3 linked regions of the Lepisosteus oculatus genome follow. The protein of the gene in region 1 interacts with the protein of each later gene in a pairwise test. Links are inferred from orthologs where the notes say so. Each region holds a gene or a part of one and is shown on either strand. Other genes may lie near its edges.

Evidence for each region.
Region 2: the proteins of glrx3 (region 1) and ca9 interact in binary tests that used the Homo sapiens proteins (3 or more experiments, as listed by UniProt). The two-hybrid records come from large-scale screens. The link is inferred for Lepisosteus oculatus from reciprocal best matches to the Homo sapiens genes GLRX3 and CA9.
Region 3: the proteins of glrx3 (region 1) and map3k3 interact in a two-hybrid assay, tested with the Homo sapiens proteins (2 studies listed by BioGRID and IntAct). The link is inferred for Lepisosteus oculatus from reciprocal best matches to the Homo sapiens genes GLRX3 and MAP3K3.

What each region holds. Positions count from the first base shown.
Region 1 is NC_090699.1:25,570,173-25,580,678, forward strand, and holds the start of glrx3 (glutaredoxin 3), read right to left. Parts: upstream 5,146-10,506; 5' UTR 5,103-5,145; coding exon 5,038-5,102; intron 3,736-5,037; coding exon 3,627-3,735; intron 383-3,626; coding exon 308-382; intron 1-307. Other genes in the region: uncharacterized protein C10orf143 homolog, read left to right, coding at 6,400-6,483, 7,235-7,414, 8,357-8,419. UniProt on the Homo sapiens protein: Together with BOLA2, acts as a cytosolic iron-sulfur (Fe-S) cluster assembly factor that facilitates [2Fe-2S] cluster insertion into a subset of cytosolic proteins.
Region 2 is NC_090698.1:46,945,688-46,956,012, reverse strand, and holds the start of ca9 (carbonic anhydrase 14), read left to right. Parts: upstream 1-5,585; 5' UTR 5,586-5,954; coding exon 5,955-6,081; intron 6,082-10,325. UniProt on the Homo sapiens protein: Catalyzes the interconversion between carbon dioxide and water and the dissociated ions of carbonic acid (i.e. bicarbonate and hydrogen ions).
Region 3 is NC_090723.1:1,797,250-1,807,871, reverse strand, and holds the start of map3k3 (mitogen-activated protein kinase kinase kinase 3), read left to right. Parts: upstream 1-5,882; 5' UTR 5,883-7,823; intron 7,824-10,622. Other genes in the region: translational activator of cytochrome c oxidase 1, read left to right, coding at 817-1,108, 1,639-1,745, 2,464-2,597, 2,988-3,165, 3,976-4,185. UniProt on the Homo sapiens protein: Component of a protein kinase signal transduction cascade. Mediates activation of the NF-kappa-B, AP1 and DDIT3 transcriptional regulators.

The DNA of each region.
Region 1 (10,506 bases):
TAGTTAAGGTCGGATTTGGAGCTGTAGTATTTAAGGCTGCTTTATGAACTTTCTACAGAATATTGATTTATAGTACATTTAACATTAATAGATTTTTAAATGCTAATGTCCCCAACTTTAAAGTGTTAAATATGCTTCACATCAAGAAAGAGTGCATGTAATAAGTGGAAAAAATTATCAAACGGATGTTTATTAACACAAAAAGATGTTCTGTGTTGAATTTTATGTTCAGAGAAAATGCATCTTCTCAAAGAAAATATGTAACTGTTCCACTTGAGTCATTGAGGTTAAATATTTGAAAGCTTACCTTAAAGAAAAGGAAAGTGGGGACGGAAGTGATCTCATATTTCTCAGATACCTCAGGTACCGCTTCTGCTTCCAGCTACCAGGAAAACAAAAGAAAATGATGTTAAGTTTGTTTTTGTTCTCATTACCAACCAGGAGTTCTCTTCAAACTGAGATGAATGGAGTCAGAACACTTCACTTATCTGATACAGGGTTAACCTGTAGGAGGAAAAACAAGGATTTAAGATGCTATAACAAGCACAAAGTATTTCACCCTCAGCCCAAGGAAGACAGCACTTACATTCTTTCTAAAAACAACTCAGAAATATTCCTGTATATCTAGAGATCACATAGGTATTTATCAGGGAATACTGCAATGGGCAATAAACAGACATAAATCTGTGAGGTGAATAAGTTAAAATATTTACATGCCTGATTGCATTCACTTCAAAATTGAATTGTTCTTAATTTCAACCTGTTTCTGAAGACTTGTTTTTCTGTTCATGTAAATGCAAAAATATTTATCCTCTTTTTATCTGGTTTTGGATTTTATGTTTGATTTGTATAGTGCTTTGTGATTACTTGTCATGAAAGGTGTTTTATAAAATACATATTACTGTTCCACAAAATATAATATATACAGTCAGAAAATGTGCTTTTTTATGCAGGGGTTATATGAGGTTTTGCATCATTTTTTGCCCTACCTGCAGTGAGTGCAATGTCAAAATGGGTTCAGAGGTTTTTATTTTACTACACATTTCAAGAAATGCCCTCAGGCACAGAACGAAAATGTTGATGCACTACTGACCCAGTAAATTTTCAATCGTATTTAGCTACCAGATATTGAAATCCATAAATCACTGACCCCAGTTATGTCATGATTACAGCACTTATTTTCCGCCTCTAGCAAATCTTGCTGTTTGCTCTATTGACAAAATCCATGGACCAGTACATCATAAGTGACACACACATACACAAGAAATCTAAGATTATAAAGCAAAAATAGGAATTTTTGCTATAATGTAATGATGGCCAATACATATTTTTGTGAGCTCTTATACTGAAGCATATTTTATAAGACATATCTCTATAAGCATGTTAGATACTAAAAGTCCAATATAGTACAGGTCTACTCAATTTCAGAAAGGATATAAAGGAAGAAGAAAAGTTTGAATGAATTTGTAACTGAGAGTTTTTTTGCTGCTAAATCAATGTTGGGCATATTCCTGCAAAGATGAAATATCAGCACAAAAAGACTGAGTGGGTTGTTGTTAACCTAACCATGCATGCCAAAATATTTTTTTAAAGTGTCTGATACAACTTAAATGTTCTGGTGTGTACTGAAAGCAAATAAGGAGGATACAGTTTGAAAGTATTCTCTGCAGTTTTGACAGCAGTGAAGTAAAAATGCAAAGCAAAAAAAAATGACAATGAAAAATATGAGTTGCTAATAACAGAAATGTAAAGATAAACACATGGCATAGAGCTTCCTCAGCTGAACAGCTTAAGGGTATTTATGTGCATACAATCTGAGAAACTGACACCTCAAATCAGAGGATTTGCAAGACTGTTATTATTAAGACAGTGTGTACCGATCACTGTAGGGGAGACACAGGTCTTTATCCTTGTGCCTAACTCAATAGATAATGAGACCATACTAGCAGGCAAGGTCAGAGAAAGCCAGTAGCCCAGTGCAACCAGGTCCTCTGGGGCCAAAGAAAGAGAAGACTTTATGAGTTTTGAATAGAGCAGGAAGAATTCAAGGGTAGAGTTGGGGGGCAGAAAATCTATTAAAATGAAAAATTATATAGCTGGGTTGCTGGTATCAAGCAGACCTTGCAGAAAAAAAAATACAGATCAATCAATCAGTGACCTGTGTTCACTTTAAATTACAAAAACCAATCCTGAACTGCTGGCAGATCACTTTTGAAAAAGGCCAGGTTCAGCCTTGTGCCTAGAAAAGTAACAAGAGCCATTAGAGCACCAAAAGCAATTTTGAACTTCCTAAAAACAGTTTACTTGTAGCAAAAAAAAAATTCAAGAGTATGACTTACATTATCAAGTAAGACACTGACTTCCATTCTTCTAAAACACCCTCCTTGTTATACTACCGTTGGAGGCCCTATATTTTTCTGGTTCTTAAAAGAATAAAAGTCTAACAAGTACATTTTTAACAAACAGTAAGCGACTACCACTATAATATTGCTTAAACTTGTATCTACGGCTTCTGTGCACATTAAGCACTTCCTCACAAGAATGTTTTATCTTTGTTTCACTATGCGACACGAGCAAAGGAATAGGTTTACCATTAGTTTCAAATAACATTATCTATTTTCAAAAAGAGGGAAAAATTACTTTGGACCAACTGTAATAATGTTTAAGTAGGTAGCTGCGGCAGCATGCGCACACTGCAAAGGGACACGTAAAGGCTTATCCCATGCTGAAAAGAAAACAAACAACGTTTTGGCTGTGGAACCTCCTTTACACTTTCACCACTGGTGTAGGATCCATGGCGAATCGTTCTGTTTCTTTTCTTTTCAGCATGGAATATAAACCTTTACCTGTCCGTTTAGTATAAGGTTTAGGCACACAATGAAAGTTCCATTTTATTTATGTAAAAGACCAGCATAGTCTGGAGCCAAAAGCTTTTGGAGATGGAAACACAAGTGGCTCACTCGGTAAAGGTGCTTGGTCAGAACAGAAACCAGAGCTCAGAAATTGCCAGCTTGTATATAGACTTCGTCACTTGCTGACTGTAAACAGGTATTCCAAAGCAGCAGTGCCCAGCTTTTTGTTAATTAACTAGGTTATACTTGCTGCATGCTAAGTAGTGCCAGTGTGAGCTGCATCATGCCTCCCACTGGTGCAAGCTCTCCTGTAAGGCACTGTGGGGCTCAGGGAGTGTAAAATCTAAATAGGGGACAGGAGGCAGTCATTATGAGCCAGCATCCCCATAACACCAGAGATCAGATGGAGAATTGAGAAATGAATTTACAGGGAAATGTAGATATGCAAAACCGTACATTTTATTCTAAATGTTGAAAAATAAGCTTGTAAGGATTGTGAAAAATAGACAAGACCCTGAAATTAAGTGCTTGTAAAAGAAAAAAACATATGGCCTGGGTCTGGTGTGAGTGACACATTAAATGGAAAGTCGGCCTATTGTGATATGGTTAGCAAATACAGCAAATACACAAAATTGAAAGAAAAAACGGTTATGGTAATATCACAAAAGGCATAAACTGTGATACATTAATGTATCAATATACATTGTAACAGTATAACAGTGTGCATTTAGAGTGCTGAAAATAGGCAATGGTAGGTTTCAATACTATACACACCTTTATAAATGTCACCTGTGGATACTCCTTCGCTATCTCTGCCATCACATCATTCATTTGGGTGCACTGTGGAGCCCATGATGCCAGGAAATGGATAACCACCAGAGACCTGGCAGGAAAGACAACAAAATTAAAGTATACATATGCACATTTACAAAAGCTCAGATCTTTTAGACAGGTTTATTGTCATTTTTTATACTACAGAGGGATTTGTTTGCTTACAAGTCCCATGGATCCAACACCTCTTTCTCTCCTAAAATACTTTTTTCACCACCCACCCAAGCTCTCACATAAACTGTTTTTTACTGTAAAACTGATGCAGTGAAAACAATCTTCCCACAGGTCCTCAGGACAGAAATTTGCAGAGCCCAAACAGAAATCTGTATAATTAAATATATTGTTTTCCAACAGCAATTGTAAAATTGCCTCTTTATGCAAAATATTTTACTTTAAAAAAAACAAAAAAAATACAATAAATCTATTTTAACTCAAAATAAAGAGTTTTTATCGTGAAGGTTACAGACTCTACACTTTTCTTTAGATTAAGGTACTCCGCAGTCCTAAAATGACAAATGGGTATTTAAAAAAAAATAATTTAAAAAATGTGAAAATAGTTTAACATATACATAAATTAGATACTGTTCCTTTCTGTTTGATTTAACAGAGCAAATGCAAATAAAACGTTGATTACAAAACTATTACATTTTACAGTACATTCATTTTTTACAGGAACGAGCAGAGGTTATGTAAAAAGGATATTTTAGCGTGGAATTAACGTCTCTTACTTTTCAATTACAGTTTCTCAACAAATTATATTCTTATTTCTCCGTATATCCCATAAATACTAAAACATTACGGACATATCCCGAGACAGAAAACACAATGGCTTTTCTGTCGCAGTCCGGGAAATCGCGGCCCGAGCATCAGGCCTGTCAAGTAGTAGGTTCGTCCAAGACAACTGTAAGATGTTGCTTGTGATGCAAAATGTATTAAGATCATCAATCCATATCACAAAGGCGAAACACTATGCCCCGATTCACCATAATTTATTCTGGTACAAAAGAACAAGCTTTTTTCTTATATTGTAAGCAAGTTCCCCTTTGTGTTATTTTATCCAAAGAGATCGATATTTTATTTTATATTAACACTTTCACAAACATAATTAAAAGGCTAGTGCTATAACGATTCTAAGGTTATTTTAATTAACATACTTTTCGAATATTTTAATATATTTTTGCACGTACACACAATGCCTTTTTCCGTGACTTTCCTGTAGCCTTCAGACTGTGACTATGCACTGCTTTACTAAGCCAAAACTTTAAAATCACACAATGTCAGTTACAGCTATTTTAGAATGGACATTTCACAGCTTTCACACATATCAGGTAATCATGTAAATCTGGATACATACTTTCCTGCATTCTTTAACAAATCTTCAAATTGCTGCGAAGAAGTGGCTTGCACGAAATTCGCCATGCTGACAGACTGAACTAATCGAACAGGAGTCGAACTACAGTTTGAGTTAACAAGGCATTAGTAACAGCACCCGAGGATAAGGAAACATTCAATTCTATCATTGAGGGATATTAGAAAACAATACTTGAAGATTAATATAGCCTCTCAGAATGTTACACATTCGAAATATTTTTTAAACGTGTATCTTTTTGGCTAGATGGTGCATATTTCTTCTTACATAGGTGTCGATTTGTTTCCCTTAGATTTCCTTGTAGCCCAAGCTATGAGCTTCATATTCTCTTTTTGATAAAATCTTGAATTACTAAATTTAGGGTTCCAGATACCAATCAATAACTACATTTTACTTTAAAAATACCTACAGTAAAGGACTGTATTCTCTTCTTTAATCAAATTATACTTTTGAAAAATATAACAGGTAGCCGTAATATTTCTGGAACTTTGCTTAAAAATAGTTTTTACATACCATATAGTTTAGATTACAATCACACTGTTAATTGACCACTTAGTTGAAATATCAGTAATGATTTCATTATCACATATTCTATTCTAATTTAGACTTATTCTAAATTACTTAATGATGCTGTCAATTAACACTTTGAGCTACTTATGTTTAGACATTAACATCAGGTCGTGAGCAAAATGAAACTTTTTTAACTTAGTAGAAAGAGACAATTATTTATTGCAGATATTTCAGGTTAATGTTATGAACAAGTATTTTATAAATTATGGTATATAAAGTTATAGTATACTTGGATTGCAATGAGTTTCAATTCACCATGTTTATTCACTGTAGTCTCCCTTGGAAACTAATGAATTTCGCCTGAACTGCTACAGAAAATATTAAATATCTTATTAAATCTTATTACTATTTTATTAAACGTAAATATATTTAATATGTACAAAATATGTTCTAGTCCCAGTTACTCAACTATCACCGCGTCTTGCCCCTCAGAAGTATGGCGTGCACGTCCTGACGTTTCTGGTTAGCGTCTCCTTTGATAGGTTGTTGTCCTTCCTGTACTAATGAAGTGCTCTGTGTAACGTGATTTCCCGCTGCGGAAAAAAAGATAACTGAAGAAAACTCTCAAGGTTGTATCCGATGGACTATAGTGAAGGGTAATAGACCTGAAATGCATTACTGATGATGGAAATGAATGGTTAGCGTACAATCCCAACCATATGCTATTTTACTTTATATTTTTAAATAAAAATATCCAATCGTTTATGTTCTCTTATCCTTGGGATCGCTTTTTAACTTTTATTACTTTGCCTGAAAATAATTGATTTGTACGATCAGATGGCAATGTCGATGGATTGCATGGTTCCAGCACAGAACAAACGCCGCCACGAAGAGGATCTTGATGTAAATGTGAACCAGACGGTAAGTCAGGACATGCAACATAAGCGTGTTTCGCCAACCGGTGGGAAAGCCAATCGGTGACGTACATGTAAGGTGGATTTACAGTACGTAGCGCCCGGCTGCTACAATGTTTATACTTCGAAGAATCAAGCACTTGATGTGTTAGTTACAAACTGGATATGTACTGTAGTATGACCTTTATGTGCCTCCTCTTGTGATAGACACTGCATTGAAATATCTGCTGACTATTTTTAGTGCTAAAGGTGGTGCTGCCAGAATAACTTGGCAATGTTTAGTCCCTTTTCATATCATATCATTCATATCATGTGAGCACAACTGGTTTTATCATGGTTAATTGTAGCTGTTACACTTGAAGCAGTTGAAAGTGTGCGTGTAGTTAGTTTTTTAGCTTCAAAATAGACCATTTTTTACTTTTAAAAAAGAGGCTGTAGTTTTCTGTTCAGCCTTTTTTCCCCTTCAAAACACCGTCTTTGTATAGTAGCCGGCATCAAACGTGCTCTGTATTATAAATTAATTCTGAGGCTGGGTTGTTACAGCATTAGGTCAATGACAGCATATTTCTATTTCAATGCCAAGAGTGCATCTTTTTTTTTCGGAAGAGTGGACATTTATTTCATTCAGTGAACAGTGGCAGTGTCTTGAATTATTTGAAGCATTTGTAAGAACTGAAATGTTACTTATAGCTACCAATAACAACACAAGGCAAACACGTTGCTAAGGGTTACCGTGCTTTGTTTGACTCCTTTCCCAGAAGCGGTTTTGCAGTGGGTCTGGAAGTTGTAATCAGTTTGAAAATGGCGCTGTGAGCACACAGTTAACAGAGAGTCCCATGGATACCTGGGACATGCATCAGCAGCAGTCTCTTCCTCGGTCACGGAATCCAAACTGCACTGCCTTCCTCTGTATTACCTCCACCCAGACCTCTGATATGGTAGGAGAAGTTTTCACGTCGTTTTACAGTACGTGCATATTTCAGGCATCTTATTTCTCATTTATACCTAAACACCTCGAATAAATGTTATTGATTCGGTCATGTATTATGACTGACACCCACTGCAGCTTGTGAAAATGTGTGCATTGCGTTTTTAATTTAAAATTCTCAAAAGTGCTATATGTGACAAGTAGCAAGAGCGACAAAGCCTAATTTGTGCATGAAAAAACACCAAACCCCTAACTTTTTATATTCAAATCTAACTGGTGTGCACCCTAAACAAAATCAATTTATCCTGGTGGAAATATCAGGTGTTCAAATCAGTTTCCTCTCTACAAAAAAGATATGTGGAATTTGTATGGCTGGACCCAAGGGGTTCACTATGAAATGGGCTAATATGAAAGGCACATGAAACTGACCCCAGTTACCTTTTCCCTTCTCTTCTAATATATCTGTTGCAGAAAGGAATAGGAAACAAAGAGTGACAAGTGATCCACTTGTATATAATCCCATTTAATTTTAACTTTAATGCTAAATGCCAGACTCAAAACTGAGAAGCTTACTTTCTGCTTTGTATGTTATACAAAGAGAGCCATAATGTTGTGTATTATTGAAGGCATTATGTTGACTGTCCTTTGAAAGAATGGTATTTTTATGTCTCCTTTGCTTTTTTATTTTGTAATTCAAGTGTTTTATTCTCATCAGCTTTTTTTCTCCTTTGTTATGTTGTATGTATTTCCAGTATGTTTGTTCTTTAACAATAAAATAGGCATTAGTTATTAACACAGTTACTATCTGTTTTAATTTATTAATACAATCCGTAACTCTGCAAACATTAGTTTAGTCGTTAGCATACATATAGTGTTTTATTATGTATATTGTGCTTTCTTAAATGCCAGGGAAATATCTTTAATATACCTCATCTCTATGTTATTTTATCAGAGGTATGCATCTGAAGATGGCGGATTCGTACAGCTCTGTCTGCGTTGCAAGGCTGGAGAGTCTGTGAGTATTTTTTTTCTGAGTATTGTAATTACTGTTTGCAAAGGTTTAAGAAGTAACACTTCTTATTTAATACATATTTTACATAATATAGGCTACTAGTTAGTCAACATTGCAAGCTACCGTTCTAGGCCCATAGTGAAACATTTTTAGACACTATTGAGTTGCCTAGCAAAAGGCAAAAGCCTAGGAAATTATTGTATTGCAGGTTCAAAGAGTCCTGAATGCAAGAAACCAGAATGTATGTTATTTTAAAATAGTGTTAATAAAGGAAGTGGTCCATGAAAAGCATTCGAATGTAAATGTTTTCAAACTTGTAATCTATATAGCTTGGAGAATCCATTGAGAAGGCCAAAAATGAGTGAATATTCAAATAAATTAAATTTACTCTAATGAAAAAATAATACTTCATTTGGAATATTTTGTAGAGTTTAGCTATTCATCCTCCAGGCAGGATAGATATATTCTAGACATATTGTGAAGAAGAGGTCCAGATCAATTTCTGTTCTGAAAGTTAGTTTATTTGTTATGGATTTAAAAACCTGAGGTTGTAACAGTAAGTAAGGGTTGTTCAAGCTTCAAGTAATTAAACCAACAACCAAGGGCAAAAATGAAAATTAAGAGCAGGTTTGTTCCATTTTCAGAACTGAATTTTAAAAAGGTTTTAAGTAAGAGGAGGTCTCGGGTTTGTGATTCACTGTTCTTTCTGAAGTAGTCCATTTCAAATTAATGCGTCTGAGGAATTTGAGCATTTGAATCAGGTCTTCTTCTTCTCTGATGAAGACTAAAAAGGTTAGGTTCTTTCAGCCTATCAGTTTAGGACAATCACTTGAATGCCAGAGTGTATCTGTTTGTTCTTTTCTTGACTGATTTCACAGTACCAGTAACTTTTGTATTTTACAATATTAACATAACATCCCTTGATTTGAGTTCTATGTTTCTGACTGAATATCATTTTGTATGCTTTTTTACTTCTTTCCTATGTTGTCTAGAAAATGTAAATGATGTAAACATAAACCTGAAACTCTCTTAAATCTCAAAGTGTTGCATCTTGTATTTCTAGTTTGTTTATACTATCTGCATTTAACACAATATGTAACATCTGACTACTGTTTGCCCGCAATTCTAGCTACATCTTTTTGAATTTCATTTGGTGCTTCTAGTGGTTATTAATCATGTTGTTTTGAGATTAGTAAATCAGTTAAGTTTGTTGACAAATACATCAGATTGATAATTGATTCAAAGTAGGAAAAGCGGTGGCCCTAGTACAGATCCTAGTGGTACTCCATTAATTACTTCCGTCCCAGTTGAAGCATTCACCTCTTATCTTCACTCAATTTTCTATTAACCAGTTTTTAAACACGTGCATTTTTCCAAAATCTTGCCGCCTGTAATTTTAAGAATTAAACTTTATCTAAAGCCTTCTGAAAATGTAAATACACCCTATCTTACGTTCAGTTCTTATACTGTTCCTCAAAGAATTCCATATTGGTCATCCTATAGTTTAGTACTAATAATTGTTTCCATAACATTGCAGTATAGACTGTTTGTAATTTCTTGGTTTAGTTTTATCACCCTTTTTAAGTATAGACAGTGTTTAACAATATATAACAATTCTCCAGTCCAATAGCACTTCCCCTGTCTCGAGCAACTGCTGGAAGAGTTAAGTTAATGGGTTATGAATAAAATCTCCTTTTTTCTTAAATACAAATGGTAGAATGCCATTGGTCCCTGGAGATTAATGAATTTTGAATGCTTCTTGTACCTGAAATACAGATATCTAAAATCTTCTATGTTGATGCTAATTAAAACAGAACTTTGACTTTTGTTCTTCGACAAACTAAGAAAGCAATCATTAACCATGTCTACCATTTCAGTTTCTGCTGCTGAAATTTCAATAGGTTTTTCCCAGTCTTTGATTTGCACGTTTTGTTAGAAGTGTGCATTTCCTCCTAGAATTTGTGTGCTTTTTCTTTCTGTTTCTTGGTTTCTTCTCGCCTTCCAGAGACATGATGGCTATGTTAACCGAGGTCTGTAAACTGTATTTGTGAGCTTTTGTTTATACAGTATGTCTTCTTTAGTCTTGGTTA
Region 2 (10,325 bases), on another chromosome or scaffold:
GCATTTACTTCATGTCAGAGTTTTGGGGGATTTTTAGAGATACCCGACTAAGAGATAACTCTTAGAGATAACTGATCAAGGGCTTCCCTATCACCAAATCACTAACATCTTTGGCATGAGGTTAGAATCACTCCATTTTCTATTGGGCATTTTCTTATTTGGAGGAAAATAATTGAAGTAGGACAATTGGTCAAGTAAAGGTTAAAGAGCAGGAAGCAGGTTCTTCCATTGGTCATTGACATCTGCTCTTTAGGAGGAAAGCAGAGCCTCTTAGGTGAGAGAAATCAGAGGGAAAAGGGATCAAGGAAGTAAGAGAAAGAGACTTAAGTCTCAGAGAGATACATGTTAAAAAAGAGCTCTATTTTTATACGTTATGGTTGCCTTTGTGTGTCACTTTATCAAGATGCTCAGGTTCAAAGATTCCTTACAGTACCTTTCAGGTGTTCCACATGTAATGCAACTTTTATATAATTTCAAAATATTATGTATTTATTTATATAATTTTAGGATATTAGGATGTATTCTAGAAAAATCATTCATTTAAAAATGACCATCTCACACAAAGGACATGCACAGAAATATCCGGAATATTTTATTTTAGAATCTGCAAATCTCCTTCTCTTTCCTGGTAATGTTTTATTGCACATTACAAATCAAATGAAGCAAGAATAATAAAGACTATACTACAGCTGCTTCCTGATGTGTACTTCTATATCATTTCTGAATACCTCTTGTTGTAACAGAAAAATACGTTCTGGATCCCGAGATGAAGTTTAAACAACTGAGTTTATTGCATGCAAGGAACAATAAGATCCAAGTATTGTTCGGAATATAGGTACAAAACTTACAGTATATATAGCAAACTTTAGCCATTTATGACACAAATTTTTACCATGGTAATTGGGGGAGGTCACCTGTGTTTGGACATTCCCAAGACCTTGACCACTTTGAATGGCAGGTTTTTATCTTTCCTTAGTTAGGGGGTCTCTATCTTGCACTTAGAATCTCTTATCAGTTAACTCCCCTCCCAGCCATAACTCAAAGGTGCTTAAGCCTGGAATATCTTGTGTCACAAGAAATCTCTGTGTAGAAAGAAATCAGCTAACCCCTTTTTCACATCTTATATCTTTCTTCAACCTGTGGTCAACCATGCTTATGAGCCTCAAGACCAGTGTAAAACAATGTCAGGAATCTGTGGCTGTATCATTTTCCCAGTTAAATATAATGATGTACCTTTTTACAAATAATAACAATGAAATTGTCACTTGCTCCACTCCCGGACTTTATATCCATCCAGTTTTTAAACTTTCCAGCTGCAATCTCCCGTGTCACACAAGGAGGGTGAAGACCTAAGGGAACACTCCCCCTGTTAGGTCTACTTCTCATTTGATAAGCTCCTCCTAGCTTACAACTGCAATATCATACTTTCTTTATGGGGATTTTAAATCTCAGCTTTAGAGCATGTGTCAATTTTACAAACATAAATGGTGAAATGCCTTGGGTATTTCTCTTGATATTAACATTATCTTTAAAAAATCAATAAATTGAGTAAATACAGTAAGTGCTTAGAATTAAATAAAGACATTAAAATGTGGAGCTGTGCATTACTGTGAATCAATTCATTGTATGACTTGCAAATTTATATGTGAATTACACAGACTGATTGACTCAAGATAGAAATGAATACAGCAGGAGTCTATGATCCCACAAAGTCATCTTGAGTTATACTTTTACACACAGAACAATTCATGCACACTCTTGATATTTATTAGTGATTAACTGATACACTATATCAGCAGAGCTACACATTTCCTCAGCCTTAGTTACAACAAATGATATACCCAGCTTTTCAATATCCTGATAAACCATTCTAATTCGAACGTTTTATTTATTTTTCTAATCTTTCTCAGATATTGTGAGGACAATTGTGAGAGGGACTATGAAGGCACTTTTTTTTGTGAAATTTAAATGTGATTTAATGAGATGTTTGAGGTTCAGTGAAACTCAGAAATCTTTAAAACCTTTAAACAAATCACACCCCTTCACACTACTCAGAGCATCGGACTTTGTTCTGAATGAAGAAAAAACTTAAAGAGCAAGTGTAGCTCTACTAGACAACAGGATTAGATTAGACTGCAGTTACCCTTTTTAAACACAAGACATTGTGGGCACCTTCAGAGGTTGCCTGTTTGTGATTGGTGACAGCAGTGTCATTTACCTGTTTGCAGCCTTTAAATTGCACAAGGGTGATTTGTTACTGACTCATTTCTGCAAGGCTTTATAACTCTGTACATAGGAGTGGAGTTTTGCAGGCACTGATTGAAGACTCCTGCTGGACTTAGAGGGCTATTCCAAGAGGTAGTAATTAAGATGCTAGGTAAAGTTTTCCTAGTCTTTATCCTACAAACTCTTCTTTTCCTGACTATAGTAATGTCATCAACTTCATCATCAGAAGAAGACAGCAGTGTTGAAAAAGAAAGTAAGGAGCACCATAAAGGTAAGCTGACCATTTGATTCCTCGTTTTCAATTCTTAAACACAGATTTAGGAACATTTGCTACATAAGTTCCTCATTTTATTTTTCAGGATAACTGACAATTTGCAATGTGCAGTTTTTGTTATAAAAATTAATTAATGTAAGACAAATGCTACACAAAAGGCTGGTCATCATCAATACAAGGAAACTGCAAGTGCAATTGTCATCTCGCTCATTAGAGGGCATTGGTTTCACATTCAAAATGGCATTTTGCATGTTATGTGTGTTTGAGCTAAGCTACTGTAGATTCACTTTCTCACAACAGAGAGTGAGAAGAGTCAAAGGAAAATAAAAATGTTTATTATAATGAATCAGCGAGTCCGTATTAACTAGTAAAGAGATTTAAAAATACAAAGTCTGTCTGGGTGGTTTATAGCAGTGAATCCTGCATCCATTGAGCATGTGGACCTGATCATTTGTCTAAACAGAAAAAGCCCTGAAAGGCAATTTGCAAATACTCTATTAACTAACCCATACTGTTGTGAGAATGTCATTCATTTGCACTTACCATAAAGGATCACACAATAGTTTACTATTAATACAAATGACATATTTTTCATCAGCATTCAATTAGTGCACACCATAGTCCCCATATCTATCAGTTTCTCAAACAAGGTCATTTTCATAATATGCTGTGGAGATCATATTCCCTGCAACTGAAAATCTTCAAAACAGTACTGACTTTCCTTTGGGATTGGCCTGTAATGCTCTTATTCACTTTTCTATATCCAAACTTTGTCGGCATTTACTTCATGTCAGAGTTTTGGGGGATTTTTAGAGATACCCGTCTAAGAGATAACTCTTAGAGATAACTGATCAAGGGCTTCCCTATCACCAAATCACTAACATCTTTGGCATGAGGTTAGAATCACTCCATTTTCTATTGGGCATTTTCTTATTTGGAAGAAAATAATTGAAGTAGGACAATTGGTCAAGTAAAGGTAAAAGAGCGGGAAGCAGGTGCTTCCATTGGTCATTGACATCTGCTCTTTAGGAGGAAAGCAGAGCCTCTTAGGTGAGAGAAATCAGAGGGAAAAGGGATCAAGGAAGTAAGAGAAAGAGACTTAAGTCTCAGAGAGATACATGTTAAAAAAGAGCTCTATTTTTATACGTTATGGTTGCCTTTGTGTGTCACTTTATCAAGATGCTCAGGTTCAAAGATTCCTTACAGTACCTTTCAGGTGTTCCACATGTAATGCAACTTTTATATAATTTCAAAATATTATGTATTTATTTATATAATTTTAGGATATTAGGATGTATTCTAGAAAAATCATTCATTTAAAAATGACCATCTCACGCAAAGGACATGCACAGAAATATCCGGAATATTTTAGTTTAGATTCTGCAAATCTCCTTCTCTTTCCTGGTAATGCTTTATTATTGCACAAAATCAATTACAAATCAAATGAAGCAAGAATAATAAAGACTATACTAGAGCTGCTTCCTGATGTGTACTTCTGTACCATTTCTGAATACCTCTTGTTGTAACAGAAAAATACGTTCCGGAATCCGAGATGAAGGTTAAACAACTGAGTTTATTGCATGCAAGGAACAATAAGATCCAAGTATTGTTTGGAATATAGGTACAAAACTTACAGTTTATATAGGAAACTTTAGCCATTTATGACGCAAATTTTTACCATGGTAATTGGGGGAGGTCACCTTTGTTTGGACATTCCCAAGACCTTGACCACTTTGAATAGCAGGTTTTTATCTTTCCTTAGTTAGGGGGTCTCTATCTTGCACTTAGAATCTCTTATCAGTTAACTCCCCTCCCAGCCATAACTCAAAGGTGCTTAAGCCTGGAATGTCTTGTGTCACAAAAAGTCTTTGTGCAGAAAGAAATCAGCTAACCCCTTTTTCACATCTTATATCTTTCTTCACCCTGTGGTCAACCATGCTTATGAGCCTCAAGACCAGTGTAAAACAATGTCAGGAATCTGTGGCTGTATCATTTTCCCAATTAAATATTATGGTGTACCTTTTTACAAAAATAACAATGAAATTGCCACTTGCTCCACTCCCGGACTTTATATCCATCCAGTTTTAAAACTTTCCAGCTGCAATCTCCTGTGTCACACAAGGAGGGTGAAGACCTAAGGGAACACTCCCCCTGTTAGGTCCACTTCTCATTTGATAAGCTCCTCCTAGCTTACAACTGCAATTTCATACTTTCTTTATGGGGATTTTAAATCTCAGCTTTAGAGCATGTGTCAATTTTACAAACATACTGTAAATGGTGAAATGCCTTGGGTTTTGCTCTTGATATTAATGTTATCTTTAAAAATCAATACATTGAGTAATTAAATACAGTAAGTGCTTAGAATTAAAAAAAGACATTAAAATGTGGAGCTGTGCATTACTGTGAATCAATTCATTGTATGACTTGCAAATGTATATGTGAATTACACAGAGTGATTGACTCAAGATAGAAATGCAGCAGGAGTCTTTGATCCCACAAAGTCATCTTTGAATTATACTTTTACACACAGAACAATTCATGCACACTTTTGATATTCATAAGAGATCAATTGATACACCACAGTATATCAGCAGAGTTACACATTTCCTCAGCCTTAGTTACAACAAATGATATACCCAGCTTTTCAATGTGCTGATAACCCATTCTAATTTGAATGTTTTTTTTTTATTTTTCTAATCTTTCTCAGATATTGTGAGGAAAATTGTGAGAGGGACTATGAAGGCACTTTTTATTGTGAAATTTAAATGTGAAAATGTTAGATGGGTATATACAGTATATAAAATATTGCTGTAGCAAAGCTGCTTTAATCATGTGGACCTGTATTTAACTCTATTTAATGAAGATGCTAGACAAGATCTCTTCAATGAAAACAAAACATTTTTTTTCTCTGTAATAAAAAAATACCTGCGGGAGTTAAAGCTAAAACAAACATAAACGATTAACTCAAAAATTGTAGGACGGACATAGCTTCTACAGAATGCATCTTTTCCTTCTTCTTTGAAATTCTAGAATCTGGACAGTAGTGCATACTGGGAGATTTAATGACATGTTTGAGGTTCAGTGATACTCAGAAATCTTTAAAACCTTTAAACAAATCACACCCCTTCACACTACACAGAGCACCGGACTTTGTTCTGAATGAAGAAAAAACTTAAAGAGCAAGTGTAGCTCTACTAGACAACAGGATTAGATTAGACTGCAGTTAGCCTTTTTAAACACAAGACATTGTGGGCACCTTCAGAGGTTGCCTGTTTGTGATTGGTGACAGCAGTGTCATTTACCTGTTTGCAGCCTTTAAATTACACAAGGGTGATTTGTTACTGACTCATTGCTGCAAGGCTTTATAACTCTGTACATAGGAGTGGAGTTTTGCAGGCACTGATTGAAGACTCCTGCTGGACTTAGAGGGCTATTCCAAGAGGTAGTAATTAAGATGCTAGGTAAAGTTTTCCTAGTCTTTATCCTACAAACTCTTCTTTTCCTGACTATAGTAGTGTCATCAACTTCATCATCAGAAGAAGACAGCAGTGTTGAAAAAGAAAGTAAGGAGCACCATAAAGGTAAGCTGACCATTTGATTCCTCGTTTTCAATTCTTCTTTTTTCTCCTTCAGAAGCACAGCAACAGTGTCATTTGATAAATACTTTTTTTCGGAGTGTTTGTCGAAATGTATTTTTTGTAAAGACAGAGCTAATGTTTAAGACAGTTTACTTAAATATTGAATTTAAAACATCTTCACAAAAGGCATCTCCAAATAATTATTTTGTCCCTGATTTTTCTGATATTTGATGGCAAGGTTTGATTTTGTTTCCTCACAAACATTCAGAATTACACTTTATTTTGTATCACAATTTGTCTTTTATATATAATTTTAGTCAGATGAATACTAAAACTATTTTATAAACCACTGTCAGAGTACTTTAAATAGACAACCAAAGAATATAATACAATTTTAATAAAATCAGAAACAATAAGGATTTCTTGTCAGCTGTGAAGAAAAAATCTTTGACTAGGTTGTCTTAAACTGCCACTTACTGGTGTGGATCAGTTAACATGCAACCTAGAAAAGAAAGGTATTTAGTAAATAAAGCTAGTGACCCCTGCCTAAATTTTACCTTTCCTGATAGAAATATGTAATAAGTTAGTGTAAACTATTTAATTACAAACTTCTGATGAAAGGCATTTATAAGTAAACTAATTATGATTTAAGTGAATTTAAACTGTTACCTTGAAGAGGTGTGCAGTCCAGTCCTATTTACAATTCTGGATTATCATCACTGTCCTGGCACACTGTGAAGGGAATTACTCTTAAGATACCTCTCTTAACAGTGAGAGCAAATAGAGCAAAAGCACAATTTATTTTAACTACAAGTAAAACAAAACATGTCCAGAACACATATCTTAACATTAATTTTATTATCATTACTTTTAATTTAAAATTATTTTTGCATTAATATAAAAAAATAACCAAGTCTAAGTGAGTCCAAGTGCCGAAAGCACTTGCATTCTGTTTAGTATGCTGGAATTTCTAACATAGTTCAGATGCGTTTCATTGCTGATTCATGCCTACAGTTTAACGGCTAACAGTGGTTTTCAGTGAGGAGCCAGTGTCTACGTGCAGTTCAGTGAGTTTTGACATGAATCAAAGGGATATTACACTACATCACTGTATTTCATCATGAATACTGTGCCAGCTGTGAAATTACAGAGAAGGAAAATAGAAAATAAGAATCTCTCTTCCTTGGAAACACAACACCAGCATGAAGAGTTTTTGTTTCGTTTACGAATTTAGCAAGCTATACAAAGATAGAAAATGCTTTAAAGTTTTAAATTTTGAAACAAAAATCTTGAATTTCTAAAATGCACCCTATTTGTTAGTGTCCTTAGAAAAGACAACAAAAGACAACCAGAAATAAACACACCAGCTGGGTTTTCTAAAAAAAAGTTTTTAAGAGAATATTAATGCTGTGGACTACATTGTTTAACAAATTTAAACCAAAATATTCTATTTTTGACAGAAATTAACATATGTGTATTCTATGCAAATTCTCTTTAAATGAGGGGTCATTCAGACTAAACAAACCGGAACTATTTTCAAACAAATGAAAACAGATAAAATAGTCATATCTACCTACTATATTTATTCAGCTACCAGTGGATTTGTTATTTTGGATTCTGTTTTTTTTTGTCTGCACACACAGGAGTTGTTAGACACTGGATATATAAACTCAGTTTTCCAGATGTCATTTTCATCAACAATTAGAACACGAGCTTTAGGCATGATTCACCCAGGAGCTGGACGGTGGACGAAACCTCATGATGTGGAAAGCGAATAGGGTCAACCTGAATGCATTACTGAGCAAATCTGGATGTCAGCCAAAAGAGATGGAGAGAGTGCTTTATACTTCCATTGTTCTCTGACTGTTACATTAACAAAGAACAAGGACTTCTTTGGTTCTCAGATGTTCTCCTTAGTGAGTTGCTTGTGAAATAGAATTCTGGCTTCAATCGAAGCTGCTCAGCCGATAACTAAATATGGCTAATACTCACAAATGCCATAAACACCACAAACCTGAATGCTTAATAAACCTGACCCTTGGTTTATTGGCACACAACTACAGTATATTGCACATGGCATTTGAGAATACACGCGATTATATAACAAAATAATAGGATTGTTTGATTCATGGCTAGAAAGCAACTTTAATCACAAAACACAACAGTACAATTCATTGTATCTTATTGACCAACACTTTCGTCCTTGATAAATGTCCTGCAGCTCTGGTGCTGGACACCCACAGACCTGCAGGTTTTATAGGCAGCCTCAGTAAGTCAAGAAGGAAAGATCTGAAAAACATGTTTATTCCTCCTAATTAGGCAACTGACTGATCTAATTAAGTGTTTCAGAGCTCACCTGGAACAAAAAACAGGTAACACTATGCTTTCCAAAACTATGGTTGCTGACTCCTGATCTACTTTTATGAAGCCAGAAATAGACATATCTGTGACAAGACTACTGACTACATACTGTCCCTGGATTTGAGAGAGTATGAGATTGCCAACACCTGTAAAATATCAAGTCCCATTCACACTGTTTTCAAATGCTGATGAATTTCAGTGAAATACTAAGATGTGGTCTGTGTATTTAAAATTACTTTTTTTGGTGAATTTTGTGACATATATGTAATGTAAAGTAATGTAAAGTAAACTGTAAAGTGTTTGGGAAATTATAAATGCAAACAGTGAATGCAACAAATGAATAAAATATGTGTTGGACATAAGGTTTAAGTTATTAAAAGTCATTGAGTAATAGTATCTGGGGAAATGTAATTGGATTTTCTTTCTAATCAGCTGGGGATGGACTGCTGAAGGGTCCTGATAAAAAAAGATTTTGCAATAATTTTAAGGTTATGTATAACATAAAAATTCATTTTTTTCCAGTCACTTATTTGTGACTGCAGAATATTTCAAAAATACTTTTGATTTCATGCACAGTATTCTTTAGCTACTGTAAAAAATGTCTGTATTAAATTAAACACACCTACAATACATAAACGCTGAAAACTCAGCTTGTAATGGGTAAGAGCTGCTTAAAGAAAAGCATTTTTGTATTTGAACGTGAGTGTATATTCCTGTTCCTATAATTTTTTTTGTGTGGTTTTCTTTTCTACAATGTGCTCTTACAGTTACAGCATACATTTACAGAAAAATTGTTTATTTAGGTAGTTTTCAAAAACAATAAAAAAGGAGATGAGGCTGACTAATATGTTAGTCCACAGTAGGTCTATAAAAGTTGTTCGGATCACATTTAAAATTTTCATCACTGTAAGAAATCACCAATTGTGTTTCACAATTTGGAAAAGTTGATACTTTTACAATTAACGACAATAATTTACTGACAGTATTTAGTAATCATGCGTCTTTTTATATATTGCGTCAGTTAAGTGTGCAACTACAACGGATGTAGATAGGACATTTCCTTAACTCATTAGTATTTTGACTCGTACTGTAAATATTTAAATGTATAGGTCAGCTCTTTTCTTGAAAAAAAAAACACTTTTTACCTGTTTTCTAATCTCCAAAGACACATTTTCTCCATTGGCTTTTATTTAAATCCTTTGTTGGACTCAAGGTCAATTTTAATAATTTTTGGCTGGATTCTTTGTTGAATCACCACATCAAATTTCTTGCTATCAATCATCAGCTTTTTAATTTGGTGTTGTAATGTGCTCAGCAAAACATAGTGGGATTCAACAAAGAATCTAGACATTTTGTTTTAATACAACCTAATTTGTGCAAACTGTGTCCCTCTCTAATAAAACTATTACTTAAAAGCATCTTCACAACTTAGTTTGCTTTATTTTGTTTGGAAAATGAATACAATTTTAAGGTGAGTTTAATATGTCCATTCACCATTATTATTTCTACCAAAAGAATTGTATTTAAAATAAAATAGTTACTGATTTTATCCAGAGCAACTCAACATCTCTGAGGATAATGTAGAGCATAATTAGGGTGTTCTTTACTTAACAAATTTGCTTGTACTAACCATTCTACTGCAAAGTAAAAAACACAAAGCATTACTCATTATCCTTTTAACTTGTAATGTTAACCATAAAGATAATGACTCTTAATTAATAAAGATATTTGAGAGTTCCTAACTTGATATAACTCAATGTTAAATTTCAAACAGTTTTTTCAGTGGTACTGTAGCTTTTTAAAGTCATCAAGACCAAGGAAATAAAAAACAATATCCATCATTCATCACTGTTAGTGTAGTTAATGGTCTAAAGAGTTTTCCACCC
Region 3 (10,622 bases), on another chromosome or scaffold:
CATGTTGTACACACATTTGGAGGAAACTAGTGGAGGCTGTTTTTCAATGAATTGAGATCAACTGTAAGTTTGTTCTTCTATTAAAACATGAAGAAAAATTATCCGATTAGTTTTGTGACGTGTGCTCGACATTGTTGCTAAACGTCAAAGCCGTGGTGTCATACAGATTTTTTTTGTATTAATGATTAACGTGTGAAACAATATACCTCCGACCTTCAGTCGAGGAAGAGAGATGGGGTAACACTACAGTAAGAACTGTTTTTTAATGAAGGTTTGACGTTGTGTGCTTACATACATGTTCGTTACTTCTCATCTTAATTTAACATGCAAAGGAAACGGCTGTATTTTCTTTGTTTTATCTGTTTACACTGATAGTTGCAGTCAAAGGCCTGATATATTTTGATTCTGAAGGTAACGAGTATTGAAAACACGTTTTCTCTCCTCTTATAGTTTGGCCAAGGGAAATATTTTGTTCGATCTCAATTATTTATTATCTACCAATAATATGCTTTTCTTGTTCCTTCGGTTCAGGGAAACAGCTGGTTCCCCTTGTGTTGCAGTTTGATCTGTGTCAGTGTACATGAGCTGCTGGATTTCTGTACTTACGCCAGTGCTATTACCTGAGGTTTTTTTTACCTTGTTAAGCCTTACTTATCTTAGAAAGATGTGTTTTCTGCTTTATTTGTGCAGCCTGCGCTAGAACGAGTCTTCAACTCATTCTCGCGCAGTGATATCCTGGCCTGTTTTTCATGCTGTGTTTGGGTTTTCACAGAGAAAGCTGCCCTCCCCTCTCCCCTCTCCCCAGTGCCAGCAGCAATGGCAGGGACAGTGCTGATGTCTCGGTCACTCTGCCTGGGTTATGGCAGAAAGCTGGCGGCTGGCGCACCGGTGGCCGCGCTGTGCTGCTGGACCGTCCGACAGCCCCGTGCTGTGCTCCCGCTGTGCCTGTCCTGGGCGACCCCACCTGGCCGCTCTGTGCACTGCAGCTCTGTCCGGTTCGCCGGACACAACAAGTGGTCCAAAGTGAAAAACATCAAGGGACCCAAAGATGCTGCCAGGAGCCGCATGTTTATGAAGTTTGCCTTGATGATTAGACTGGCTGTCAGAGGTATGTCCTTTTAGGGGAGAAAACCCCCCTTTTAATTCAAAAGTTAAACATCCTACATAAATCCAGTACTATGGTCACAGGAATTAGTTAATAAACTCTCTACTGCACAACAGAGAAAATGCTGAATTGGGGAATTTCTTCAACATTTTAACTAAGTGTGAAACATGTCAGCTCCAGCAAGGCTATAGTGGTGTTTAACCAATTCATTCACTATGGTGAGAAGTTCTCCCGTTGAATAGCACCATGGGATCTTCAGGATGTCGGTTTTAATGTCGGTGTAGAAGGACGGGACAAAGGATACTTTGTCACTGTTCTTAGAGTTTCTGATCTAGGGGAAAAACTGCCAGCTGTCGGTCCATCGGTGCTACTTTCAGCAGCAGCCTGACTTTGTTTAGAAGTCTCCTATTCAAGTACTAAACAGACCTGACCTTCTAAGGTCAGACAAGCTCAGGCATCAGAGTGGTCCAATTGGGTGTACAATCGGCATCTTGTTGTTGTTTTTTTACTCTCGATCTCACTGATCAGTGCAGAAGGAGGAGCAAACCCTGACTTCAATGCCCAGCTGGCCAACATCATTGAGCAGTGCAGGAGCAAGAACATGCCCAAAGCGTCCATCGAGGCCGCAGTCAAAGGCGCGGTGAGAAAGTCATTTTCTTACCTGGAGGACCTGGGGACCCCCTGTCCAAAGTTTGCATTTGATCGAGGTTCAAGGATCTGGAGGGATGCATTACATTAGTCAATGCTTTCTAGGCTTGCCTTGCCTCTGTCTGATGAGCACCAGTGCGCTTAGTAGCCAGGTAGACCTGGGCAACGTCTCGGACATTTTGGCTTTGCTCCCTCTGCTGTGGTTTGCAGCAGTCAACTGTGTCATTGTCCTTAACTGAAATCCTAAAAGAAATGAAAATCAACGGGTTGAATTAGAAAAGTTTTCAATGAATGCTTCGAAGTATATTGGTTTTTGAAAAGGGTTTAAAGGGTTTTGAAAAATATTTTCAGTAGAAGATTTCCAGGCTGAAACCTCATTGAAACTGAACTTAAAATTTGATAAATGCCCCAAATCCTGTCATATTAAAATGAGAAACCATGAATTAGGTACAATACAGATTACAAGAAAACACCAACCATAAAAAGGTGAAATCACAAGTATGTGTAGCTGGTAGCTTGGCTAATTTTCTGACAGTTCATCTGCAATCTTCAGATAACAACAACGAAACATAAGATTTCACATGGGCAGCAGTTTTTCCCATTTTAGGATGTAGAAGCTGCAGACTCTTACATAAGTAAACATCGGGAGCTTGACGTGTTTCAGCTAATTGTCAGCTCACTGTTTCTTTAACCGTTCTCTTTTCCCTCAGGACAAGTCCAAGGCCTCTTCGTATGCGCTTTATGAAGGCAGGGGGCCTGGCAGCTCCTCCCTGCTTATTGAAATCCTGACCGACAACAATGCACGATCCCACAGGGAGATCAAACACATCCTAGCGAAGAACGGGTATGCCCCCATTTTCCAAACATTCCAATCCCTTTTTCTTTTGTCATTTTTTTTTATATTTGGTATCGCTATTTTATATTGCCAATGTCGGCCCACCCAGTTTGGTATTGCTAATTGTTGGTGACTTGGGTCCTGGTAACCACTGCTGTAGTGCATGGGGAGAATGAGGAACTGCAGATTTGCTCCTCTTGCCCCCCACCTGTCAGACACACTGCAAACTCTGCAAACAGATTCTAATTTTTAAACTAGAGAACATTTTTGATTGGATTCTCGTTCGATTAACCAGGATAAATGGCTGCTTTAGCTTCTTACATAAGTCTGATCAAGACAGGCAGAGCTTCCGTCTGTGAGTGACCTCTGTTACTGGAGCGAAGCTTTGTCTCCCTCAAGAGGGACAATGTGTGATGGGGCGAGGTACAGTTTCCAGCGGAAGGGTGTGGTCACGGCGGCAGGGCAGGACGCAGCGGGACGAGTCGTGTCCCTGGAGAGGGCGCTGGAGCTGGCCATAGAGTCCGGAGCAGAAGACGTGAGAGAGACAGAAGATGAGGAAGAGAAGCCATTACTGCAGGTGGGAAAACCCTTCGGCTTTCTGCGACATTTAAGAATGTTTTTATTACCATCATATTTTCCTTTTTGTAAGCCCCAGTCAACCAACTCTTCCTTGCAAGCGTGGGGTTAGCTGCGGGTGTCTCCGTCACAGCAGGCCATGAGACCTCGGATGACCTGAAAACCCACCTTATTGTTCCTTTCTGTAAATAAGTCCCCATTGGTTCTGAGTGCTCATGCGAAATATCCAGTTTCCAAAGTTGGTTTAATACCTGTAGGAAGTAATAGAATTGTGCTGAAAAGACAGAAGCGAAGCTGACTTTGTGTTTGAAGACCCTGATGGCAGTGTCTCAGTGTCTAGTTTGTGCTGTTCATTTTCTTATCATTAGCGTTATCGCTTTGTCCTCCATGCCCTCGGTTCTGGGCATTTCCGTCCTCAGTCTCCCTGTGTTGTCTGGTTTTCAGACTTAAGCAAGCTCTTTCGTTGAAGTGATTTGTGAAACTGTTTTTCTGCGGCCCACCCCTGATTTCAGAAATAGCCAGCTTAAAAGTATATTGGAGCCAATAAAATTACGAAACACTTTTTTGTCTTCAGATTAATACAGACATGGTCTAATTTAGCTGTCTAGACAACTTTTATATTTATCCCATTAATGATGTCCAGACATACTGTAGATATGAATCACATTGTATTTAAATTTGGGTTTACACTAGGCAAGCATCGTGCGGTTCAGAAAATTGCCTTGAGCAGCGAAGTATGCAGTTTCTTGCCATATCACCAAAAGAATCGGAGGACGTCTTGCTCAGTGTTCCGTCGGGTCTCTTCCCCCAGTTCATCTGCGATGTGTCCTCGCTGCGCGGTGTGAGACAGGCCCTGGATTCCCTTGGGCTGCGGACGCTGGCGGCTGGCCCAGAGTTTGTTGCCTGCAGCTTGGCACAGCTGTCCCAGGGAGAGATGGAATCTGCCTCCAGGCTCCTCGAGGTGCTCAACGAATGTCCGGACGTCATCCGTGTGTGGGACAACATCCAGGGGGAGGCCTAAGCCTGCTTCTAACCACCTGCCTCCTGTTCTGGCCCTGGGCCAGTAGGGGAAAAGAAAGCAAAGGAGAGTTAACCATGGTAACCGGCTGACCTTCCTCAGGAAACATCATCAGGGGTCAAGCCCATATTTATCAAGGGATGCCCATAGTGGAGATCAGAGGCTTATCTAACTCAGTCTAGACAGCAAGAGGGGCTGTTGGCTGTTGTGCTGTGAGAAGGACAATAGTACAAGTTCTAGTGTGATCAAGAGCAAATTCCGTGTTGAAGGCCCCCACATAAGAGCATAAAAACAAATTGAGATCATTTGGCCCATCTTGCGTATTTGTTTACTCTCATTGATCAGAAGAATCTTGTCCAGCCTGTTCTCGAAGGTTCCCGGGGAATCATGCCTTCCATAATCCAGAACACTGGATTGCAAATGTTCTGGATGACTTTTAGATTCTGTTCAGAATTTTTGGATGTTGTATTGTACCTGTTTGAAATTAAAACCATTAATTTATGAAAGATGTGTGTGTGTGTTTTTTCAGGAATCAAAAAGCAAAGTAATACCCCTCTTGGTATGAATAGATATGACCGTATTAGGAGTTTAGCACTCACATTTCAGATTTTCCCAAATAACCTCTTCTACCACAATCGTGCCTTATTCCAACATGGATCATACATCATAAAATAAATGTTATTGTGTTTCACATAAAAATGTAGAACTGAAGCTGATTTTGAGTCATTCAACTCAGAGGATGGGGGTAAAGTGGTGTTAGGTATTCCTGTTTTTAAGTGTGAATGCTACTTATATTTAGAAGACATCCATCCACTTTTAAAACTGCTTCATCCACTTCAGGGTCGTGGGGGAGCTGGAGGCTATCCTGGCAAGGCAGGGTACACCCTGGACAGGACGCCAGTCCATTACAGGACACACACTCGCACCAGGGCAGAATCTCCCCGACGCCAGTTGACCTACCAGTGTGTCTTTGGACTGTGGAAGGATGCTGGAGCACCCTGTGAAAATGCATGTTAACTAAGGGAACTAAGTTAACATGCAAACTCCACACAGAGAGCACCCCAGCTCCCAGAATTGAACCCAGGACTCCAGCACAGTGAGGCAACAGTGTGTCACTGTGCACTCAGAGCACATAAACTACCCAATTGCAATAACCTGTGTCTTTGTATTACAACACTCTTTCTTTTAAGTTTTTTTTTGTCTTCTCTGTAGAAGAAATAACATGTGGTACACAACTCTAGTTAAATCCTCAACTGCTGATAAAATGTTTGATATTGATTATATCAAAATCTGAATTGCAGATTAAAACTTAACATTTCGGCTAAGTATCATGTTTAGGTTTTACAGATATTCAAAGTCGAATATCAAATCTCTGATGCTAGTAATGACATTTTTGTAAATACATCAGCGTTTCATCTTTTTTTTTATATGAGGAGCTTCTTTTTCGTGTAAAAAAAAATCTGAAATTTGTAACATCAGCAATTGAGGATGAATATTCTGTTTGAATCATCAGTATCCAAACCGGTATCGACGGGCAACAAAGCGAAAGCGCTCCTCTTGACCACCGATGACAAGCTCATGGGGGGGGCAAACCAAATATCGCGGTATGCTGGCCCTGCACACAAAACTAGATGACGAACCAGCACAAAGTTCATGACGTATTCGGCAAGGACGTCAGCCAGTAGATGCGTGTCTGTGTTGGAACTTGTCGGGCGCTGAGCGCGTAACCTGGCTGCCGTAAGAAATCTGCGGAGGAACTGCGCGCTCCCGAGCGAGTTTGGTGCTGTTTTAGTGCTCTTCATGTGAATTGTCGGTACCCTCAACAGTTATGGGGAGCATCTTATTGACCAGAAAGCTGAATGCTGTAATTGTGCCACGTTAAGGAGCTTTAAACTACTTTAATTGAAAAACAACATAACTTTAGGTTTTTTTTTTTTTCGGAAGCTGACTGATGGGTTCCGGTGACTGAGTGCGTTTTTTTTTTTCAAGTCAGGAAATTCGCTGCAAGGAGATTAAATTTACTTTGGAGCGATGTGCATGCGGACCCGAGCTCCTTCAAACACCGTTTCGTGAGTTTTTTTTTGTAAGGTCCCTTTTTGTTTTTTCTTCTTCTTCTTCTTCTTTCGGAAAAGCGGGTGTGTCTCGACTTCAGCCGAGCTGCCCTCTCCGCGCTTGTCAAAACCAGACCGGACCGAAAAAATACAAAGTTTTTTTTTTGAGGTGGGGGGGGCAGAGATCTGGGCTGCTGTGGCGAAGGTCTTATTAAAACCATCAAAGCAGAGATGGAGAAGACATGACATGCTCCGGTGGGAGTCTTCAGCGCCAACCTGCAGCTCTTTTCTGGGGGTGGAGGAGGGACACACTTTTGTTTTTAAAGAGGGTGTCCTCGTTTGCAGCGGTTTCCCTTCGCCTTTGGGGGAGAGAGAGAGAGAGAAAAAAAATGGAGATAACTGATTTTCACAACTTCACCATAACGTCACGGGTTTGCTTGCGCCGGGCTGCTCCGTCTTGTTTTTAAAACTTGACGGGTTTGCAAAGTCTGACGGACTCGTTTTATTACTTCTCCGGAGTCCCCAGCCTCGACGCCAGATCTGATTATAGCCCCCAAACCGGGGCAGTGATTTCATGATTATCTTTCTGCTCGACCGGACAAGCAGTTTTTGTTGGGGTTTTTTTTCCTTCCGCGGTGCATGAAAATACGGATCTTCTGTTTCCCACAGATCGTTAACATCGTTTTAACTTGAATAGTTTCGATAAGTGTTCTGGTTTTCCTTCTTTTTTTTTTTTTGGTAATTATTATTTTGTGGAGGCCCTGCGCATCTATCTATCGGGACTTTTGTGGAGAACAACAACAACAACAACAAAACAATATATCCTTGCGTGATAAGAAGACGGCGGAAAAAAAGTGCGAGTTTTGCAGGAAAGGCGTGCGATCGAGAAAGCGGTTTCGTGGTGTTGTTTTTTTTTATTCTCCCTCTCGCACGGACACCAGGATTTCATAAATGCCTTGAAGTCGACTTTCTCCACCCCGGGACACCCCTTCCACCCGTTAACAACCCGTACATGTGCATTTTTTTATTGTGGACTTCAGCGACACTCTGGAAGAAAAACTCGTGTTTTGACCCGAGGCCAAGAAAAATGTTTGAACTTAATTTAGCAGCAGACATAGCCTGGCTTCGCTTTTTTCTCTCGGCATGCTTGTCAGGAAAATCCAAGACTGCATTGGACGTTTTATAGCTGTCTGGATATTTTCTTGTCAAGGGGAGGAGAAAAAAAAGCAAGCTGAAAACAACCCAGAAACGAAATAGCACAGTTTCACTTTAATTCGTTTCTCTTTTTTTTTGTTAACTTGTAAATCTCTCGACAACCCGGGACTACAAGTGCTCTGACCGACAGGACTCGAGATTTGTTTTTTTGTTTGTTTTTTTCCCAGTTTGGTTGTGTTTTGCAAGTCCCGCGACCAGTTAACGAGCCTTTCGGGATTAAAAAGCGATGTATTTCGACAGCTAGCGAGGATGCGTGACAACTGAGCCCCCTTTTTGCAAGCGACTGTCGGACTGCTCGCTTGTTCGGGAGAGTCACTTGCGGAGTGAGCTGCTGCTGTTTTGCTCGGGCAAGAGGCAAGCGTGTTACCCCAGGAGGTGAGACAGCTGTGACATTACTCACTCTTTGCATCTGTCTGAGGTGGTGCTCAGCTCGCCAAGAAGGGGTGTACTTAATGCGTTAACGTGGGTTTTGTTCCTGCTTGACCTATAGAGTTGTTTTCTGTGATACCAGCTGCTGTATGATTCCTTTAAGAGGTCTGGAGACAGTGCGTCAAATTACCAGTTACATCAACGTCTTTTCACAGTTTCAGACCGTGATTTTTCCCAAGATTTCCATTGTGCACAGCTGACCCAAAATGGCCTTTTCCTTCTATACAGTTTGGTTTTTATGACGGGGCCTTTTGGGGGGAAAACTTCCCGTTGTATTTCAGCAAGGCAAGCGTCCAGCTCTTACAAATAATTGCTTTTGTCATGCATGCGTTCTTGGGCTTTAAATTAGAGAATTTAGACAGATATAGAAAGTTGCGTAGTGCGCTATGAGCAAGGTTCCTGTGCCGGTGACCTAGAGAGCAGAGGAGCTGCAGAAAAACAACTTTCGAAAACACGTGCTCGACAGTCTTTTTGACCAGCAGTATTGTTGTGGATTTCTTCAGAGAGGCATGGAAAGAGGTGAAAGGCTTGTACACAAGGCCTTCTCAGTGGCTGGGGGGCTGTATTTTTCACAGTGCTGAGAACACATGCAGTGTGCGTCTAGTTACGTCCTAAACAGGACACAAAACTTCACTTCATTCCTTTGACTTTGGCAAGTGCCTCTGCTCCTCAGTTGTGTGGTGGGGTTCAAGGATTTAGTATGTGAGAAGGTGCGGGTTTGTGTGTCAGTTTTGTGTTTCCATTTGTAACTCAACATCTATAGAAAGCTTATTCTTCTTATCGGCCTTAAGGCACAGCAGGCCAACTCTGGTTTCTGCACCACAGTGCAGCAGGTTTTATAGGTTTCTTACATCATCAACATGTAAAGACTTCAGTTAAGAGTTAAGCAGGTCCAGTCAAGCTGCTAATTAGCCATTTACTGCAGGTGATAGAATATTTTGTATTAGATAAAGCGATTAGAAAAAGGATGGAGGAATGATGGCGATACCCTCTTTGTTTTCAAAACCACTGTATCAGTAATGGCTCAGGCCTGACTTGTAGTCCCTCAACCTACTGTGGGATCGTTTTGAAAAGCCCACAAAATTGCCAGCCACTTTTTAATCCCTTACTTGTGCGCAAGGTCACCGAGAGGGGTAGTTGTTTCCAAAATTGTATAATCCACTCCAAAACCAAGTTGCTCGGACGACTAGACATCTTTGAGGCAGGCTAATGAAGTGTAAAATTGTGATGCCCCAAGGGGCATCCGTGACAACGGATTCCGTTGTGAACATGGCTTTCATCTGTTTACCTAGAAATCAGGGACAAAATCTGGAACAGCTCCCCGCTGTGACCCTTGGCTACCAGGTGGGGAGGCTGCATTGTCTGGGCTCTGCCGGTGTGGAGGCTCAGTCGGCTTCCATTGTTCACCCTCAGTGCTGTGCTGCTACTGCAGGTTTGCGTGTCGCCATCATCGGGTGTCCTCCCGGTCCCTCGCCCCGGTCCCTCGCCCCGGGCCCTCGCCCCGGTCCCTCGCCCCTGGGCCCTCGGGTTGGATGGAGGCTGTGCATGATTTGGAGGATGTTGTCGTACCTTGCCTCCCTCCTGCGTTGTTCTGAGAATTCCCTTGGTGTGCATTATTGCTTAGACCACTGGCGATTCCAAAATCCTGGGTCACGGTGCGACGAATTCAAAGTTAAGCTCCCAGGTTTGCCCGAAGGAGAAGTCGGAGAGAGATTCCAGGAGCCCTGCGCCACAGCTGTAGTTTTTTAAGTGGATCCAGGAGCTGCCCACGCTCACAGCAGGTTGCAGTTATCCCTGCGTGAAAACAAATTGCACTAGGGCCCCGCTCCACCGAGGGGAGCGGAGGTGAAAGCAGGGATTAGTCCTTGCAGCAGGAGGAGCTGTGCATTGTGATCCAAAAAATATCATTTGTTTCCGAGGCAGAGAGACGGGGTGATTCCAGGTTCGTTGATGGTGCAAACATTTTACCACGGCCAGCTTGTCATCTGGGTTTCAGTCTCGCTGACGGTGGTTTCCTTGAGCTCAACGTTGACCCGCTAGCTAGCCGGATGAGGTATTATTTAACAGTTTTCAGATCCTGGGGATTAGAAATTGGCCTAAGCTCTGCAGCTGTTATTACCAACAGATGCGATGCTTACCGAGGGACTGATTGTTTCAGTCAATTACCCATCTGATCAGCACCGATTCGGCAACCTATTAAAAGCTGTTCATACAGCATTAGTGTAGTGATTAAGTATCAAGCAAACTGTCAACAGACTGCATTTACCGGCAACCACATATTTAAACCAGGGCTATTCGGAAGCCAAGCTCCATGTAGTTGGGAAAGTCCTCCTTAAGAAAATAATTAAATTAAATTATCAGTGCAATGCACTGGCGTCCTGTTCCCGGTTTGCTCCCAGTGCCTGCCGGGATAGACTCCGGCTCCCCCACGAACCTCAGTCAGATAAAGAGGTTAGAAAATGGATGGACTGGACGTACAGCAATGAGGACGTCGCTGTCACAGAGGAGTCGGTGCTGTTAACTGCACCTTGGAAAAGGGAAAAGCAAACTGGGCTGAAGCGGGAGATGAGTGGTGCAGGGAGGGAGACGTGTGGACAGACAGGTCACAGGAGAAAGAAGTGGGGTTTTCAGGCCTCAGGAATGGGATACGTGCAAAAACACATTGAGGTGCTTCGCTTCGTGGGGCAGATGCTTTCAACAGCAGAACAGTAAGTGCTGTGCATTCCTGAAATTCATCCAGGAAGG